Linked DNA regions of Drosophila melanogaster. The protein of the gene in region 1 interacts with the protein of each later gene in a biochemical or structural test. Each region holds a gene or a part of one and is shown on either strand. Other genes may lie near its edges.

The links. Proteins that work in one complex are often made in the same cells at the same time.
Region 2: the proteins of loqs (region 1) and Dcr-2 form a complex in vitro, tested with the Drosophila melanogaster proteins (one study listed by BioGRID).

The regions. Positions count from the first base shown.
Region 1 is NT_033779.5:13,379,777-13,387,289, forward strand, and holds loqs (loquacious), read left to right. Parts: upstream 1-2,875; 5' UTR 2,876-3,011; intron 3,012-3,119; 5' UTR 3,120-3,163; coding exon 3,164-3,888; intron 3,889-3,960; coding exon 3,961-4,246; coding exon of another isoform or gene 4,247-4,315; exon of another isoform or gene 4,316-4,389; intron 4,390-4,750; coding exon of another isoform or gene 4,751-4,880; coding exon 4,881-5,018; intron 5,019-5,045; exon of another isoform or gene 5,046-5,207; coding exon 5,208-5,456; 3' UTR 5,457-5,895; downstream 5,896-7,513. Other genes in the region: beta'COP (coat protein (coatomer) beta'), read left to right, coding at 1-338, 401-983, 1,219-2,405; Ing5 (inhibitor of growth family member 5), read right to left, coding at 6,159-6,260, 6,323-6,481, 6,712-6,914, 6,981-7,337, 7,401-7,437.
Region 2 is NT_033778.4:17,574,068-17,584,062, forward strand, and holds Dcr-2 (Dicer-2), read right to left. Parts: upstream 7,459-9,995; 5' UTR 7,360-7,458; coding exon 7,339-7,359; intron 7,279-7,338; coding exon 7,148-7,278; intron 7,027-7,147; coding exon 6,849-7,026; intron 6,410-6,848; coding exon 6,102-6,409; intron 6,046-6,101; coding exon 5,349-6,045; intron 5,286-5,348; coding exon 4,728-5,285; intron 4,662-4,727; coding exon 4,487-4,661; intron 4,429-4,486; coding exon 1,328-4,428; 3' UTR 912-1,327; downstream 1-911. Other genes in the region: Rab4, read left to right, coding at 1-200, 264-475; CG6484 (uncharacterized protein), read right to left, coding at 8,063-8,758, 9,175-9,876.

The DNA.
Region 1 (7,513 bases):
TCTGGGATTACCAAAACAAAACCTGTGTGCAGACTTTAGAGGGGCATGCTCAGAATATCTCCGCAGTCTGCTTCCACCCGGAATTGCCGATCGTGTTGACTGGCTCAGAAGATGGCACCGTCCGCATTTGGCACTCTGGCACTTATCGCCTCGAGACCTGCCTCAACTACGGCTTCGAGCGGGTGTGGACCATCTCCAGCATGCGCGGCACCAACAACGTGGCTCTGGGCTACGATGAGGGTTCCATCATCATTAAGGTGGGCCGCGAGGAGCCAGCAATGTCTATGGACGTTGTGGGAAGCAAGATCATTTGGGCCAAGCACTCCGAAATGCAGCAGGTTAGTTAGACAATAACATATCCTTTCAACTTTATTTCTTACTTCGTTCTTTTCTTCTAAAGGTCAATCTAAAGACTATTGCTGATGGCACAGAGATCAAGGATGGCGAACGCTTGCCCGTTGCCACCAAGGATATGGGCGCCTGCGAGATTTACCCGCAGACCATTGCTCACAATCCCAACGGTCGTTTCGTCGTTGTATGCGGCGATGGCGAGTACATCATCTACACATCGATGGCCCTGAGAAATAAGGCTTTCGGTTCCGCGCAAGAATTTGTGTGGGCCCTCGAGAGCAACGAGTACGCCATCAGGGAGAACAACGGCACCGTTCGACTCTTTCGCAACTTCAAGGAGCGCAAGAGTTTTACTCCAGAGTACGGAGCCGAGAGCATATACGGTGGCTACTATTTCGGTGTAAAAACCTCATCCGGATTGGCCTTCTATGACTGGGAGACGTTGCAACTGGTGAGGCGCATCGAGGTGCAGCCAAAGAATGTGTTTTGGAACGAAAGTGGCAGTCTGGTCTGCTTGGCCACAGATGACTCCTACTTTGTCCTGGGGGTGGACACTGCCCAGGTTGCCAATGCCGTAGAGACCAAGGAGGGACTGGAGGATGATGGTGTGGAGAGCGCTTTCAATGTGCTGGGTAAGTTGATACCAATTATCTAATATGTATCTTATCTTTAGAATACGTGTCTCAAACACGATTTCTCAAATGAGATTCCGCTTTCAATATTCCTATAGAGAGCATACAACAATGGTTTACTCTGTATTTCACCATGAGAGCAAACTATTTTAAATTTAAATTTAAAAAAATATTTCCATTTACCACATAATAGCAAGAAAGTATAATTGTATTGTATTATGCATTTGTGTTGCAGGCGAGGTTTCGGAGTGCGTCAAAACAGGACTTTGGGTGGGAGACTGCTTCATCTATACCAACTCGGTGAACCGCATCAACTACTACGTGGGCGGCGAGATTGTGACAGTATCCCACTTAGACCGCACAATGTATCTGCTGGGCTACGTGCCCAAGGACAATCGTATTTACCTCGGCGATAAGGAGTTGAACGTGATCAGTTTCTGTCTGCAGCTGTCCGTGCTGGAGTACCAGACGGCGGTTATGCGAAGAGACTTTGAGCGCGCAGACGTTGTGCTACCGACCATTCCCAAGGAGCACCGCACTAGGGTGGCACATTTTCTGGAGAAACAGGGCTTTAAGTCGCAGGCCCTGCAAGTCTCTACCGATGCCGACCATAAGTTTGACTTGGCCTTACAGATCGGAGATTTGGAAATCGCCTTAAAGCTGGCCCGTGAGTCGGAGAACTCCCAGAAGTGGTCACAGCTGGCAGATGTGGCGTCTAGCAAGAACAACATGTCTCTGGTTAAAGAGTGCATGCAGAAGGCAAACGACTTAAGCGGTCTATTGCTGCTCTCAACAGCTTCCGGCGATGCCCAGCTGCTCGAGGTGGTGGGTGCGGCTGGCTCGGCCCAGGGACATCACAATCTAGCTTTCCTCTCGGCGTTCCTTCGTTCAGACGTGGAACGCTGCTTGGAGATTCTCATTGAGACAAATCGGTTGCCAGAGGCAGCGTTCTTTGCCCGCACCTACCTGCCCAGCCAGATGTCAAGGATCGTAGAGCTTTGGCGGGAGAAGCTTGGAAAGGTCAACGAAAAGGCGGGACAGTCGCTGGCCGATCCGGCACAGTATACAAATCTCTTCCCTGGCCTGGGCGATGCGCTGCGGGTGGAGCAGCATTTGCAGGAGGAGCGAGCTCGTAAGGCGCCGGCACGCCTCGCTGCGAATCTACCACTGAATAGCGAACGTCATCCTCTGCAAGAACTATTTGCCGCCGAGCAGGGTGCCGCCGGCCAGCATTTGGAGGAGAAGGTGAAGCCAGCTTACGTTCCCGCTCAAGCTGTTGTTTCTAGCAGCCAGGTGGCCGAGCCTACATCCGCTGCGGATGACGACGACGACCTGGACTTGGAAATAGATGGAATTACGTTGGATGATAACATTGATACGACAGATGTGAACCTCGATGACGATTTTCTAAGCGACGATTAGGACGGAAGATCACAGCCAGATCTAGAATACCATTTAAACTATCGTTTACTGCTACGGGAGTCCCACATTTCGTGCATTTCGAGCCACAGAATTCCGCGCATGCATTCACATTTGATTTGATTGAATGTTGTTTAAATATATATCTATTAATAATATGTACAACAGTAATGGAGCAAACACTGCAATAAATACTTATACAACAATTTCAAATATGGCGCTCACTTCAACTATTTCGATTACATTCTGATATCTTATCGATAAAACTTTTAAACAAACTTACGATCATGCCAGGAGAAATTAAAAATTATTTTTGTTCTTTTTTTTTTTTGAGTTAAATTAGTATTCATGGTCTATTTTATTATATATTTGTACAAAAAAATGTTCTGTACCTGTTACATACATTTATTTCAACATATTTACTCTACGAGTAGGGGGTGTAATAAGTAGGCAATCCAAAAAAAGTCTGGCAACCACAAATATCAGTAAAATACATACAATTCGTGTGTGCGTCTGGATTTTGCTGTATTTTTTATTTAAGAATGAATTATTAACTAACCATTAATAAATTATTATTAAATAAAAAACAGTTAAAACCGCGATTCAAACGTGAGTACTCCCCGAATTTCGGCGAGAGTGTCAACTGGACTTTTCGCCCGCTATTCGTCGGTGATGTATCGATTTTTCAAACAACAATTACCCCGAAATTTTAAACAGATACACACCGAATCCTCCCGAAAACCGTGCAAAACAAGAACACCATGGACCAGGAGAATTTCCACGGCTCCAGCTTGCCGCAGCAGCTACAGAACCTCCACATCCAGCCGCAGCAGGCGTCCCCCAATCCTGTCCAGACGGGATTTGCTCCACGGCGGCACTATAATAACCTTGTCGGCCTGGGCAATGGAAATGCCGTCAGTGGTAGTCCGGTGAAGGGTGCTCCGCTGGGGCAGCGCCATGTGAAGCTCAAGAAGGAGAAGATATCCGCCCAGGTTGCGCAGCTGTCTCAGCCAGGTCAGCTGCAGCTGTCAGATGTTGGTGATCCTGCCTTGGCGGGCGGATCGGGCTTACAAGGTGGAGTCGGCCTTATGGGCGTAATATTGCCCAGCGACGAGGCCTTAAAGTTCGTCAGCGAAACGGACGCCAATGGACTGGCCATGAAGACGCCCGTCAGCATTCTGCAAGAGCTGCTAAGCCGACGAGGAATTACTCCCGGCTATGAACTTGTCCAGATCGAGGGCGCCATACATGAGCCGACCTTCCGGTTTCGCGTGTCCTTTAAAGACAAGGATACGCCCTTCACGGCCATGGGGGCAGGACGATCGAAGAAGGAGGCCAAGCATGCGGCGGCCCGTGCGCTCATCGACAAGCTGATCGGCGCGCAGCTGCCGGAATCGCCTAGCAGCTCCGCTGGTCCGTCGGTGACTGGGCTCACGGTCGCCGGAAGCGGAGGAGACGGCAATGCCAATGCCACAGGCGGAGGAGAGTGAGTTTTTATTCTATTGATGTCTAAGATATGATTCTAAGATATCCAATTTATTGTATTATGTCCTTGCAGTGCCAGCGACAAGACCGTTGGTAATCCGATTGGCTGGTTGCAGGAAATGTGCATGCAACGGCGATGGCCACCGCCGTCGTACGAAACGGAAACGGAAGTGGGTCTTCCCCACGAGCGGCTCTTTACGATCGCCTGCTCGATACTCAACTACCGCGAGATGGGCAAGGGCAAAAGCAAGAAGATAGCCAAGCGCTTGGCCGCCCACCGCATGTGGATGCGTCTGCAGGAGACTCCCATCGATTCGGGCAAAATCAGCGACAGCATCTGCGGCGAGTTGGAGGGCGAAGTGAGTATCATTCAAGACATCGATCGTTACGAGCAAGTCTCTAAAGATTTTGAGTTCATCAAGATCTAACCCACAAGCAATTTTCTAATATTTTTAGTGCAATTATTTTGAATGCAGTCCCATGCTTTAGTTTATAAAATTTTAAAAATTGATTTTATCAAATATATGTCATAAATGTTATATATTATTTAATACGTTTGTCCTCTATCCCTTCTCAAATGTAATGTAGAACGTTTAGAGTAATCCTCAGTTGTAAATATCCCTATAATCTTTTAAATTATGTATCTAGCTAGAGTTTTAGTACTATAGCATCCCTTTTATAGTGTGCTATCTGATATTTTTTATTGTCCTTGTTTTTATAACTAATGTTTTTGACATAATTATACATATAATTAACATAATGCTTACACCTTATTTATATTTCTGGTTTTATTTATGGTTTATATTGGCTTATTTCATTTTTCATTTTTCATATTGTTCCTTGGCATGGTGATTGTTTTAAAGAACGAATCTGTAAAGCACCTTTTCCACACAAAAGTGATATGTTTCAACTCACCATTGGCGTGTGTGATTTCAAATGTGTGCGAAATGCAATGGAGAAAAGAAACCAAAAACTTTGCGCTCTTATTTACAGCCCCGCAGTAGTGAAAATTATTATGGTGAATTGAAAGATATCTCTGTGCCGACACTGACCACGCAGCACAGTAACAAAGTATCCCAGTTCCATAAGACCCTAAAAAATGCAACGGGCAAAAAACTGCTTAAGTTACAGGTAAATTTCAATCCAATAACGCTTTTTATTCAAAAACGATCACAAACATATTTCCAACATTCAAAACCTGCTTTCGAAAGTACATATTTGCCTTAACCCCTCACAATCCTTATAATAATAGTGTTCTTGCTTGAAAGTTCAAAGTTTAATTTGACTCTGCTAATTCGACTCCATTTGTATTTTTTTCAGAAGACTTGCTTGAAGAACAACAAGATTGATTACATCAAGCTGCTGGGCGAAATCGCCACGGAGAACCAGTTCGAGGTGACCTATGTGGACATAGAGGAGAAGACCTTCTCTGGCCAGTTCCAGTGCCTGGTTCAACTGTCCACGCTGCCCGTTGGCGTTTGCCACGGCAGCGGACCAACAGCTGCCGATGCCCAGCGGCATGCCGCCCAGAATGCCCTCGAGTACTTGAAGATCATGACCAAGAAGTAGGGGGTGCAGCCAACTGAATAGCAAAATCTGAACGCACACCACGACCACGATCACGAGTATTTGATGAGAGCGATTACCGAGTGGATACGGGATAACTAATGCACCAGTCTAATTGCTTTTCTTTCCACTTTTTGGCTCAATGCAGTGGCGATGTTACATATATATATATATATATTTTGTTTCTTTTCCACCGATTCCTTTGATTAGGCAGTTGTATTTGTTAACTGCATATGTAAATGTTCATATATGTACTACACTTACCGATGAATGTATGTACGCTTGCAAATACAGACAAGCGTGTAATCGATATTGGAATCTTCTAGTCGCTTTCAAATTCTGAAAAACGTAAAACGGCAGATAAAACTAGGTTTAAGGTAGACTACGTGCTAGTTTGCGAAGGAAAAAGGCTTATGAATATAATCGGTATTTGGTAATCGCTACTTTTGCAGTTTTCTTTTCCTTGGGCTGAAAAACTTTGTAAACTCCGAATTAAAGGGCATTGATGAATTGAAATTAATCAATCCAACTTTAGAAATATTCTGTGAAAACATCTTTTATGATATGGAATTATTTAACTACAAATTAGTTAGGAAATAAATTGACAAATATAATACTGAAGTTATAGTAGCCGTGGCTTTATTTAAATAGGTAATTTTGTGCTTAATCTAAAGTAGTATTCTAAGTAATCATAAAGGATTGCATCTATTTCTTCTTTCTGTCCTGCGTACACTTGGGACAGAACCACTTGCCCTTTGGCTTTGTGGTGAGGCCAACACAAGCGAAGTGAAACCACTCGATGGGACACTAAAATGGTAGAGTGAAAGATCTAGAACTGACCACAGAGTACATCAAAATCGAATACTCACGTCGGGATTGTCGCAGCCAATCATCTCTCCATAGGACACCTGGTGGCATAGGCAATATGTGGGCTCATTGGGATCGACGGGCATGTCCATAACGTCGCTGGGATGAGTGGCGGCCGTGTGGCACGATTCCTTCTCAGAGTCATCAACCTCGACGGTTTTCTAAATGGGTATGTTAGCAAAATGAGTAAGAATGGGGTTTCGACGATAGTGGAGGCGTGCATGTACATAAGTGAAAATGCAAACGATATGGAAAACAGTGGATAATGCAGGATTTCTATGGGGATAATCTATAAAAGTAAAGAGTATTCTATTTAGGGTCAATGAAAACTGGGAAACAGTAAACATACTAAAGTTCTAACAATGTATAGATGAGAATGTGGATGGTTTACCTTTTGAGCGCCCCCCTTGCGAGTTTCTTTTTCTTGATTTACCTTGGACTTTTTCTTTTTGCTACCTTGCCCGGCATTGCTGCTCGAATTGACACTGGAATTGGCGTTAGATTGGTTGTTGCCGCGCCCAGTTTCCTCATCCGAGGATGCGGACTTTTTCTTTTTGCCCGTCGTCTTGCTGTCCTTGGTTTTTTTGCGACCTTCTGTACAAATGGAATCAAAGGAAGGGGTCAGCTTGTGGAAGAATAGATACTTTGGAACAGTCTTACTCTTGGCCACCACTTCCTCGGATTTGGCACGCGTGGATGAGGCCTTCTCCTGAATCTCACCCTCGAAGCGTGCTAAATCGTTGTCCAGTCGCCGTATCTGCTTGTCCACTAGTTCGTAGGTCTGAATGGCCAGCTGCACCTTGTCGTCGCTGTACTCCTTGGCCTTTCCGAACAGTGCCTTGATATCCTCCTGGCGCTCCCTCCTCTCATCCTCGCTCATGGCCCCGTTCTCGCCCAGCTTGCGCATAAAGTCCTTGGCATGGCTATCGATGCTCTTCATCGCTGTTTGTGCTCGATCGTCTAATTTTCGCATCAGCTTAAAATTTCTCTCCAGCTCCGTTGGCAGACTTTCCAATCCTGTTTGTAAATCGTGAATAATATATGTTTTCGAGTGTTTTCCATGCTTAAGAATCTTCTTACCGTCTAAATAGTTCTCTAGGTATATAGCCGATGACATTTTCGGTGTCAAATATCGGATTTAACAAAGAATATGGAGTGTGTAAGCTAAATTCCAGCGTCTGTTTACGATAGCA
Region 2 (9,995 bases), on another chromosome or scaffold:
CTATCGCGGAGCAGCCGGAGCTCTCCTGGTCTACGATGCCACTTCGCGGGACTCTTTCAATGCTTTGACAAACTGGCTGAATGATGCTCGCACTCTGGCCAGCCCAAATATTGTGATCCTTTTGGTGGGCAATAAAAAGGACTTGGAGGAGGCGCGTGATGTGACCTTTCTGGAAGCAAGCACCTTTGCCCAAGAGAACGGTCTGTTTTTTAGGATTCTCCATAAATTTCCTATCGTAATTCTACGTCTGTTTGTCGTTGCAGAGCTTATCTTCCTGGAGACGAGCGCCAAGACGGGGGAGAATGTTGAAGAGGCCTTTCTCAAGTGCTCAAAGACCATACTGGCCAAAATTGAGACCGGAGAGCTGGATCCCGAGCGCATCGGCAGCGGTATTCAGTACGGCGGAGCTGCTCTCCGTAACTTACAGACACGACAGCGCAGCATCAATAAGCCGGATTGCACCTGTCGCGTTTAAGTCGCATAAGTTGTGCTGATTTATTTCCATTTAATCTCAAACCGGAATGCGCATTCGGATTACCCCTTAGTTGTATTGTGTACTTGTGTGTGTCCACTTTTTTAGTATGTATTTTGTCTTGCTAGATTAATCATTCCAATTGTAAGCATAATGCTAATCGATTTGTTTTTTAACATAACCAATTACCACTTTGAAAACCTATGATTTCGGGTTAACCCCAAATGTTACTTACTATAATTTGTAATTCGTGAAGCACTAGAGCCCTCGAGCAACAAATGATGTATGGCTATAAGCACATGGATCTGATCTAGAGGATGAACAGAATACACTCGGCATTTTTAATGTAAATAAGTAGCGATACGCCGTTGACGACGTCGCCGATTGTAAATCCCATTGAAGCATGCACGCGGTAAATAAAAACGCCCATTGATAAATTCAATTGTATAAAAATATTTATTTCGACCCAAGGTAACAAATATTGTATTGGGGAAGCTATTAAATTTTATTAATAACAATGAAGCTAAAACATTTTAAATGGCAATAATTGATAAAAAAATAATTAAAAACCGTTTGTATTTGAGGAAATTGGCATAGCATCTTTAGATTGTGTTTCCAAATGGGCTGTTTTTGTTTTGATTTAAAAGGTCTTAACAATTTATGGTGATCAAAAATGATTTTTTGGTTTTAGACATTTATGTCTATTAAAGCGATGGAAAAGTATTTTTTAATTCTAAGATATACAGTTAAGTTCATTAGGTGCCCTTTGCTGTCCTCTTCCAAAGGATTACGTCTTGGCTAGAAAGCAAATTCAATGCAGTTTAGCAGAAACTAGACTGGGCTGGAATCATCATATTAGGCGTCGCATTTGCTTAGCTGCTGAAGGGCGTGCTTGGCAGCCGATAGCTTGGCCTGGTCCTTATTGCTCCCAAATCCGTACACCTTGATCGTCTTTTCCATGCAGGTAAATTGACAACTAACCATTACAGTTTCCCCTTCGACGATGGGCGAGCTAAACACGGGCTTCGCATGCTTGTGCTCAACGAGCTGTCGTATATGATTGATGGGCACTTTGCGCGTGAACTCCTGAAGCTCCGGCTCGAAGAGATTGAAAATTACCTCCCAAGTACGTTGGAGATCTCGGCAGTCCAGGTATACGGCTGCAATAAGGGCCTCCAGAACATCCCCCAACGCCTTTGGCACATCCACGTTTGTGGACATGTTGAACTCACCTTTTGGTGGGACTCCTTTCTCTGCTTCCTGAGAAATGCATTTATTTGCATGCGGTAACTCAGTCATATCCAATTCGTCATCCAAGTCCAGCGGAGTCGGCTGAACATCAGCTTCCTCGAGCAGAATGCGCACATAGTTGGTAACCCGGTGACCCTGGCTCTCCTGGAAATTCACGAATTTGGATATGATCTCGGAGAGCTTTGCGTTCTCCGCTAGGATAAAAAAGTGCAACCGATGCCGCACGCAAATGCAGGCCAGCGTAGTATTGTTGACCAAAGCGGAACGCAGATCTGTGAGGGCGCCCGGATTCATTTTCGTATTGTTCTCGAAAATATAGGCAGAGATTAGAAAGTCGAGTATGGCATCGCCAATAAATTCCAGCTCCTGATAGGACCCAGTGATGCGATTAGTGGGATACGAGGGATGGGTGAGGGCCTGCAACAAATATCGTCGATCCTTAAACGTGTAGCCAAGATTTTTTTCCAAATAATAGTGATTTATGAGAAAGCCGTCAATTTCTGTAGTATTCACGTTCGCCCGCATTTTCTTGCCGCCCAGTTCGAGGTTCAGTAACTGAGTAAGCGGCTTGTCAATATCCGCACGGCAAATCTTGAAGTACTCTAGCATCTTGAAGGCATGCTGCAATCCGTAGTTCTTAACGATTACGCCCAATAGCGCCTCAAGGGTATCGGCTATCACCTTGTTGGGAATCGTGACCAGTCCCACGCAGAAGTTCACCTCGGATGAAAAATCGGCACCGGCATAAAAGGACTGCCCATTTGCTCGACATCCCTCCACGAAGCGGTTGTAGTTGATATCGCTGCAGTTGCCCTTCACCAGGGACTCCTCATCGCCGAGAGCCAAGTCACGGAGATTGTGTGGGCCAATAATCTTTGCGAATTCCGGATTTTCTCGCCACAAGGCTAGAACATTGTGGGGCAAACTGATGCCAGGTGGAAGCCATGTGTATCTAGGCGTAAACTGAATGGTGTTGAGCGTTTTGGGAATGTCCGCGTCGATGAGGCAGAACAACAGGTTACGATTAGACACAAGCTTGGATTTGACCTCTGTAAGAGTGCCCTCATTCCAATCCGAATACTTGCTGGCCAAGTAGAGCGTGGCACTAAGTTTTAAGAAGGAATCGCCCAGAATCTCAAGGCGTTCCATGTCGAAAACATCCGCTGCGCTCGAGGCAGTGATTGCAGCCAAAAACTCGCCCTGCTCCGCTGGCGTTATATGTTCTTTGGAAACAGTTTTTTGCAAAATGAGCAGTGGTTTTACCTTCCCGCGGACAGTCGGTTTCGACGGCATCAAAGCTGGCACGTTTGCGTTAGTCTTGGCCGGAGTTCTGTTGCCATAGATATTACCCGTGGGCATATGGAACTGATTTTTTGCCCAGTATTCCTTATCTTCAAAATCCATCTCATTCATCTCACATACATTACCAACGCTAAAATGATAGTAGTAGTCCAGCTCTACGGGATACGTACTCAAAAGATTTCGCGACAGATCAACCGGCTCCATATACTTTTGCCAGGGATTTTCGAATTCTGTTATTTCAAGATTGGCCACGGACGCCTCAATGGACTTTGTGGGCATTGGCTCTAAAAGGGATTTCGGCTCCTCGATATCCTCAGTTGGTATGACATTGCCCAAGGGGTCGACATTCCGCTTTAGCGAATAATCAATTTCTAGTGGTCTGGGCATGTAATCAGTTCCATTAAAAGGCAGCAGATGGAGGTTTAAATACGTATTAAATCGCTTACGTAAGGCCTCTGCGTGGAGAAGGAAGTACATGCGGTTTAAAATGCTGGGTAGGAAGATCAACTTAAGCCATAAATCCCCAGGAAAGTTAAAATTGAAGCATAGCTCCGGAATCAAAATAACTTTCATCTTAGCCTTGCTCTTCGCGTTGAACTTTCCACGATTATGAACGTAGAAAGTGAGCTGTTCCGTAAGGTCTCTGACCTCGATCATAAACTTATCCTTGTGAACAACATCACCAATGCGGTTGCCGTACTTTGACATGGTAAACTCGTAGTAGGTCTTGTCCTGTTGGTTCTTTTCCATATAACTTAACGGTGTTAGCTCACGGTGCACCTTTGTGACCAGCATGGGCTTATCATAGTTGGCATACCATTGTGTAACAATTTTGCCCTCAAAATCTTCAGGACGTGGAGCAGGTTGTTGCTCGCGTTGCTGTACATTTGACCCATGACTTTGCGGTAGTCTTCGGAAGTTGGTCATCAGTTCCCAGTCAAAGCATTTCTGTTCACCCGCACCCAGTATGAGAGGAACTACCAGGTAGGAGTTCTCCTTGCTGCGACGATCCAGCACAAAGAACGGATGCCAAATCTTCAAGATATCGCGGAATACCATTCCGTGAAACTGATGGAGCAGCTCCAGCTGTTCGGAGTTCTGGATAATTACTTCAAGTGGTGCATTGGCCACTCGAACGTGTAGCTTACCCTGATTGCTAAACAGGGGCATCTCTGCAAGGCGTGGCAGCTTGTTCCGCAGCAATATAGCATAATTTCTTGGTGTTTGGAGATTTAAATACATGTGTTCCGTGTACTCACACGATTCAAACTGCGGCTCCAAAAATATTTCGTAGGCATAACAGATTTCACCTACCCGCGGAAGTGCGTCGTAAAACTCTAATGGACATTCGGTCTTGTAGGTTCTGTCCTTGCTCTTATCGGCCTTGTTGACTGTCGCAGTCACTATGGTTGAAAGATTAATATAAGTAAACATATCTTATGCGAGTTCTTGTGAACCCACCACTATCGCCATACTTATTCCAGTGCTCAAAATGAACATCAGCAATAGAGGCTACGCGCTCCTTTAATGTTTTGGGCACGAATCTCTCGTTTAACTCTCCCAAACTGTAGAGTACTTTACACGCTTTGAAGGCAGCTGATATTTTGGCTGTTTTAACATTGTCCATGGGATCGCTCTGAAAGAAATGAAAGCAATTAACTCTATTTGATTTTGCCATTTTCAATCTGAATCTCTAGCTTACGTAAATTGTGTCTCTTAGCATGCAATTTACTGGCATGTTGATTGAAATTACGTGCTTGCCCTTGGCAGAAACACCAAATATTCTATCACGTTCGTCTTCTTGCAATACATGGAACCAGGGGATCACAAAGCCAAAAGCATCCGTGGGAATTGTCTGGCAATAGCGATGCAGTATGGCCAGGGCATTGTTGGGAAGCAACACGGCACCGTTCTCATTGGTAAAAGGGTCAATATCGTCCTGGAAGTGCCCTTTGATTTCGTACAATTCTGGCTCAGTTTTTTCTAGAACTCGATCCTTTAAATATTCGGCAATGTCATTATGCGCTTTTCGATACTGATAAATTTGCTGAATTGTCTTTTCCCTTTCCTTATCAGCTGTGAACAGCACGAATTTGGCCTCAGTGGTACGAGCCCGACCCTTTGACTGCACGTACATGTTAAAGGTTTTAACAGGATCAAGAATAAAGACATGATTGCAGGCCTGCACATCGATGCCTTCTTCTAGGACGCTTGAACATATCATAAGATTGGCATTACCGTCCCGAAACTGCTGAATGGCCTGCGAGACGGTAAGAGCATATTTTGAAAAATATCAGCAATTAACGATAATTTCCACACCTACAGATTTTTGCCATTTTCTCTCCAAGACGCTCTCAAAGTCTGGAGAAATATTGTTGCGGCCCACCATGAATTGGGGCGTGAGCACGTTTCGCAGCTCAGGCGTAGACTGGATGTAGTTGAGCAGCAAGCCATAGATGCACTTGCAGGTGTAGCGGCGTTCAACAAAGACCAGACAGCAGATATCTTTGGGATCTTTATCAGCGAAGGATACCTTAAGACTCATCAGGAATCGCTGCACTTTCGGGGTGGAGAAGTTCATAATGACTTCCTCAGTGTTTACGTTGTCATCGTCGTCGTCATAAGTCATGTCTTGCAGTTTTTGCACCAGCAAGTGACGGATTTTCTCGCACAAGGTCAAGGCCGTCCTATGCATCAATTTCACGCTTAGCGTCTCGGCCTGGCGCCTCTTTATATCGAACTCAACAATTAACGAGATTATGGCTATGGAAGCTGCGTAGATGCCATACTCTTTCATCTGGTACAGAAAATCGTTGAACAGTTGCTTTACAAAGCTCTTCTTCGACGGATCCCGCAGGCATTGCAATGACTTTGACCTTCGGATCGGTTGAACGCCAATATTCATGAGGTCTAAGGATACATAGAACTTTTCAATTTCTGCGCTTATTAACCTTGTAACCGTGAGCACTTGCTCTTGATGTGGAAAGGACACCATGACCTCTGTGGGCTTGGTGGCGTACCTGAAAAGAATATGCACTTGTTGGGAAACTGTAGCTAAAATGCCACCCGCTCTTACAGCATCACGTTTTCCATCTCCTTGGTGTCGGACACGGTAATGATGTTTCCCCGATATGTGATCTCTAGCTCTTTAAGTTTCGTGGCCACGTTCGTAATTTCATTTCCCTTGATTAACACCCCGGTGAGACCCACCACGCGCGGCAATTTTGTTTGATTAGCGATAGTGAACAATCGCATGAACTCACGAAATGGGTGGTGACCAGTGCCGTGGTGGCACTCGTCTATGATGACAACGCTCAGGGAGCTTAAAGCCACGTACGTCTGGGTGACCATGTCCAAAAAGACCTGGGCTGTGCCAACAAGAACCTGTTAAGAACCAAAAATTACACATGTAGGTTTAATTCTGGAAGCAGTGTATTATTATTAACTATAAATATTCCTCGAATTACACTGAAAAGTCTAACATGAATTCAATGTAATAAAAATGACCATCAAATCTACTACTCGATGATCCAGAACAATCCACAAACTCAAGTTAATTTTAAATAAACAAATAAAATAAATAAATAAACAAATAAACATACTACAAAAAAAAAAAAAAACAAATAAAATACATCAATTGACGAAATGATGATTTTGTGATGGCTTAGCAAAACACGACCCCTTACGAGCCCATAAAAATGCTGATCCCAAATTTTTCGACTCAAGTGGTGATCGCAATTGCAGTGTGTAGTGGTAGTGTAGTGTTTAGTCCGTACGTGATCATATGCGTATATAAAAAATGCCTCCGCCATCCTATACTCACTTGGTTTTTTTTGATTTCATCACTCCACATTCCGCGCGTCCAGTCATCCACTCCCTGTTCACCCACATAAAAGCCAACCTTAAAGTTGGTGCACCGCCTGACGGCCATCGCCTGTTGTCGGGCCAATTCCACAGTATTGCACATGAACAACGCACGCTTTCCGCCGCTTTCGATGGGTCTGTGTAAACAAATCGGAATCCGATATAGGTATTACATATAATAATATATATATAAATGTAAGTATCGGATATAGGTAATACATATAATAATATATATATGTATATCCATTCGCTACTAACTTGTCAAAGTCCTGCGAGAAGCGCTTTAGGACCAGGATGGCCACGAACGTTTTCCCAGATCCTGTGGGCAGGTAGACAATGCCATTGCTCTTCGTTAGGTGGTCAACCAGGCGAAGTTGATAGCCGCGAGGCTGGAAAGGATTTTGTTAATTATTTTGCAATAAGCGAGAGCGCAAGCCAATTCATTTTACCTTGATTTCCACATCTTCCATATCTTCGCTCTTGGTTACAGAGTCTTCGGGATATTTTGATATTACAATTTGAAGTCAAATAATTTACGATTAAAGAACAAAGAAGCCGGTGACAGAGTGGCCAGCGGCTCTTATAAGATGCCTTGTGTCAAACGTATTAAGAATTGTGTTTCAAAACGGACTGGTCACACTACGCAGTGCGGTTCTTTGAACTTAAATTATTACCACAAACCGCAACATAAATAAATTTGTTTTGAAATGCTCGCTGCCAATAATATACCTTCCGGAAATAATAAACGTTTCCATTTTTATCGAAATCTGCAACAAAATAATAAGCATTTTCGGTAGTGTAAGTTCGTGAATTATTTATTATTTGAATTCTTAATCAATACCAATTGTTAAGAATATATCACATCACTTTTTGACCCATACTATCCTTAGATCATTTAGACCTTCGTTTGCAGCCCTCCTCCATACGAGTAAAGTTTCTTATTTCCTCATTTTTTTCCAAGACTTAAAATCTTGTCAAACTAATTAGAATTATACTAATTGAGTCTAATTAGAACTACACTGACGGAAATGAACGAAAATTCAATCGGGTAGTTTATATACATGGTGATTCTACTTTATTGATTATGCTCTTCACTTCTTATACATAACATTTTCTTATTGGCTTAAGGAGAATATGAAAAAGTATCGCTACGACTAAGACTACGCGACATCATCACGTCTGGCTCTTGTCATCACTTTTGACACCCTTTCCTCCGGACAGCAGGTCCTGGATTTCGATTATTGTCTTGCCCTTGGTCTCCGGCACGAAGAACAGAGAGTAGAAGAAGGCGATGACCGCGATCGCGGTAAAGATCCAAAAGGTCGGACCCGGCCCGATCGAGCTCTTGAGGATTGGGAAGAGCAGCGTGACCACGAAGGCCGACAGCCAGTTGCTGGTGCCGGCAATCGATCCTGCCACACTCTTCACATCCTCCGAGAAGAGTTCCGCCATCACCAGCCACGGCACCGGTCCGAATCCAATCGAGAAGAAGATTATGAAAATGCAGATACTGCTGATCGGCAACCAACCGAAATTGTCCATTGAAGCCGGATCGTTCTCCTTTAGCTGAAAGTACACGCCCATCAGTGCAGTGGACACGGCCATCAGAACGCCAGAGATAAGGAGCAGGATGCGACGGCCAGCCTTGTCGATAATGGCCACGGCAACCAGCGTGCTGGTCACTTGGGTGACTCCAATGATAAGCGTGGCATCGCTGCCACTTATGTCAGAGCCCGTATCCTCGAAAATGGAGGCGGAGTAGAAGAGAACGGCGTTGATTCCCGTCCACTGCTGGAAGACCTGCAGGAGCACAGCGATTCCAAGACCCTTCAGGACGATGGGTCGACGAAGGGAGGACAGAATGTTGACCTGCAATAAAAATAAGACCACGTATTATTTTCTAATCTTCACCAAAATCAATGTATTTATTAGGTATGATAAGTAGTATCTGCTACACTGATTACTAAATGGAATAATGGAAACAAATTACGTACCTGTGTTCATATGTAGTTTAACTACGAAATCGTTTAAGTTTAATGCAAACCCTATCTTGGTTCAAGTTATTGAAAATCTTAATGAATGAAAACAAAATATTATATACTATCTGAATTTACAACATTTCTTTTATCAGGGTAAGTATATGTATGTATCACTTCCGATTGTGTGATAATGGAAAGAGTAATAAATCTGTTAAAGCCCTGCGAACCCTTTATAAAGTTTCTTTATGCCTTCAATATCGATCGATTTTGATTGATTGATTGATTATTAGTGGAATGTTAACTAACCTGTGGCATATCAATCTGCTTCTGGGACTCCTCCAGGATCTCCTTGAGCTCGTCATCGATATCGGCATCCTTGCCGCGCAGCCACTGCAAGGCCTTGGCGGCATCATCGTTGCGTCCCTTCATGGCCAGGTAGACGGGTGACTCCGGCATGAAGAAGTGTATGATAGCAAAGATTACGGGCAGAATAGCGCACAGGATATTGATGGTGAGCAGGGGCAGGAAGGCGCCCACCAAATAGCCGTACAGCACGCCCGACACAATCAGCAGCTGGAAAAAGGATCCGATGGTGCCTCGTAGTGCTGTCGCCGTAATCTCTGTACAGTACATGGGAGCTGTTACGCAAAAGGCTCCGCCGCACATGCCAAGAATGAATCGTCCGAAGTAGAGCATGGTCACGTTTTTGGCGAACAGCATCAGCACCCAGCCCACCATGTACGGTGGAATTAGGGCTAACATAGTGGGTCTCCTGCCGATCCAATCGATGGCGAAACCAATGGGAATGCAGATCACAGTGGCGCCCAGGGTCAGCAGCGAGGATACCCAGCCGAACTGACTGGAGCTAATGGGAAAGCCGTATTCCGTGTTCACCGTTATCATATTCTCCACGGGCGAGGACCAACCAATGGAGGCGCCCATGCAGAGGGCACCAAAGCTGGCCGACAAGCCAGCAATATATTGTGGCAACACCGATCCCTTGGACATGGCGAGGGGTTTTTTTTTTAAATTGGTTTTTATAGGTGTTTCCTTGTCGATCGCCGGAAACGAACTGAATTCGCCACGCGACCGTTATTACGCTGGAAAAATCGCTTTTCATGCGATAA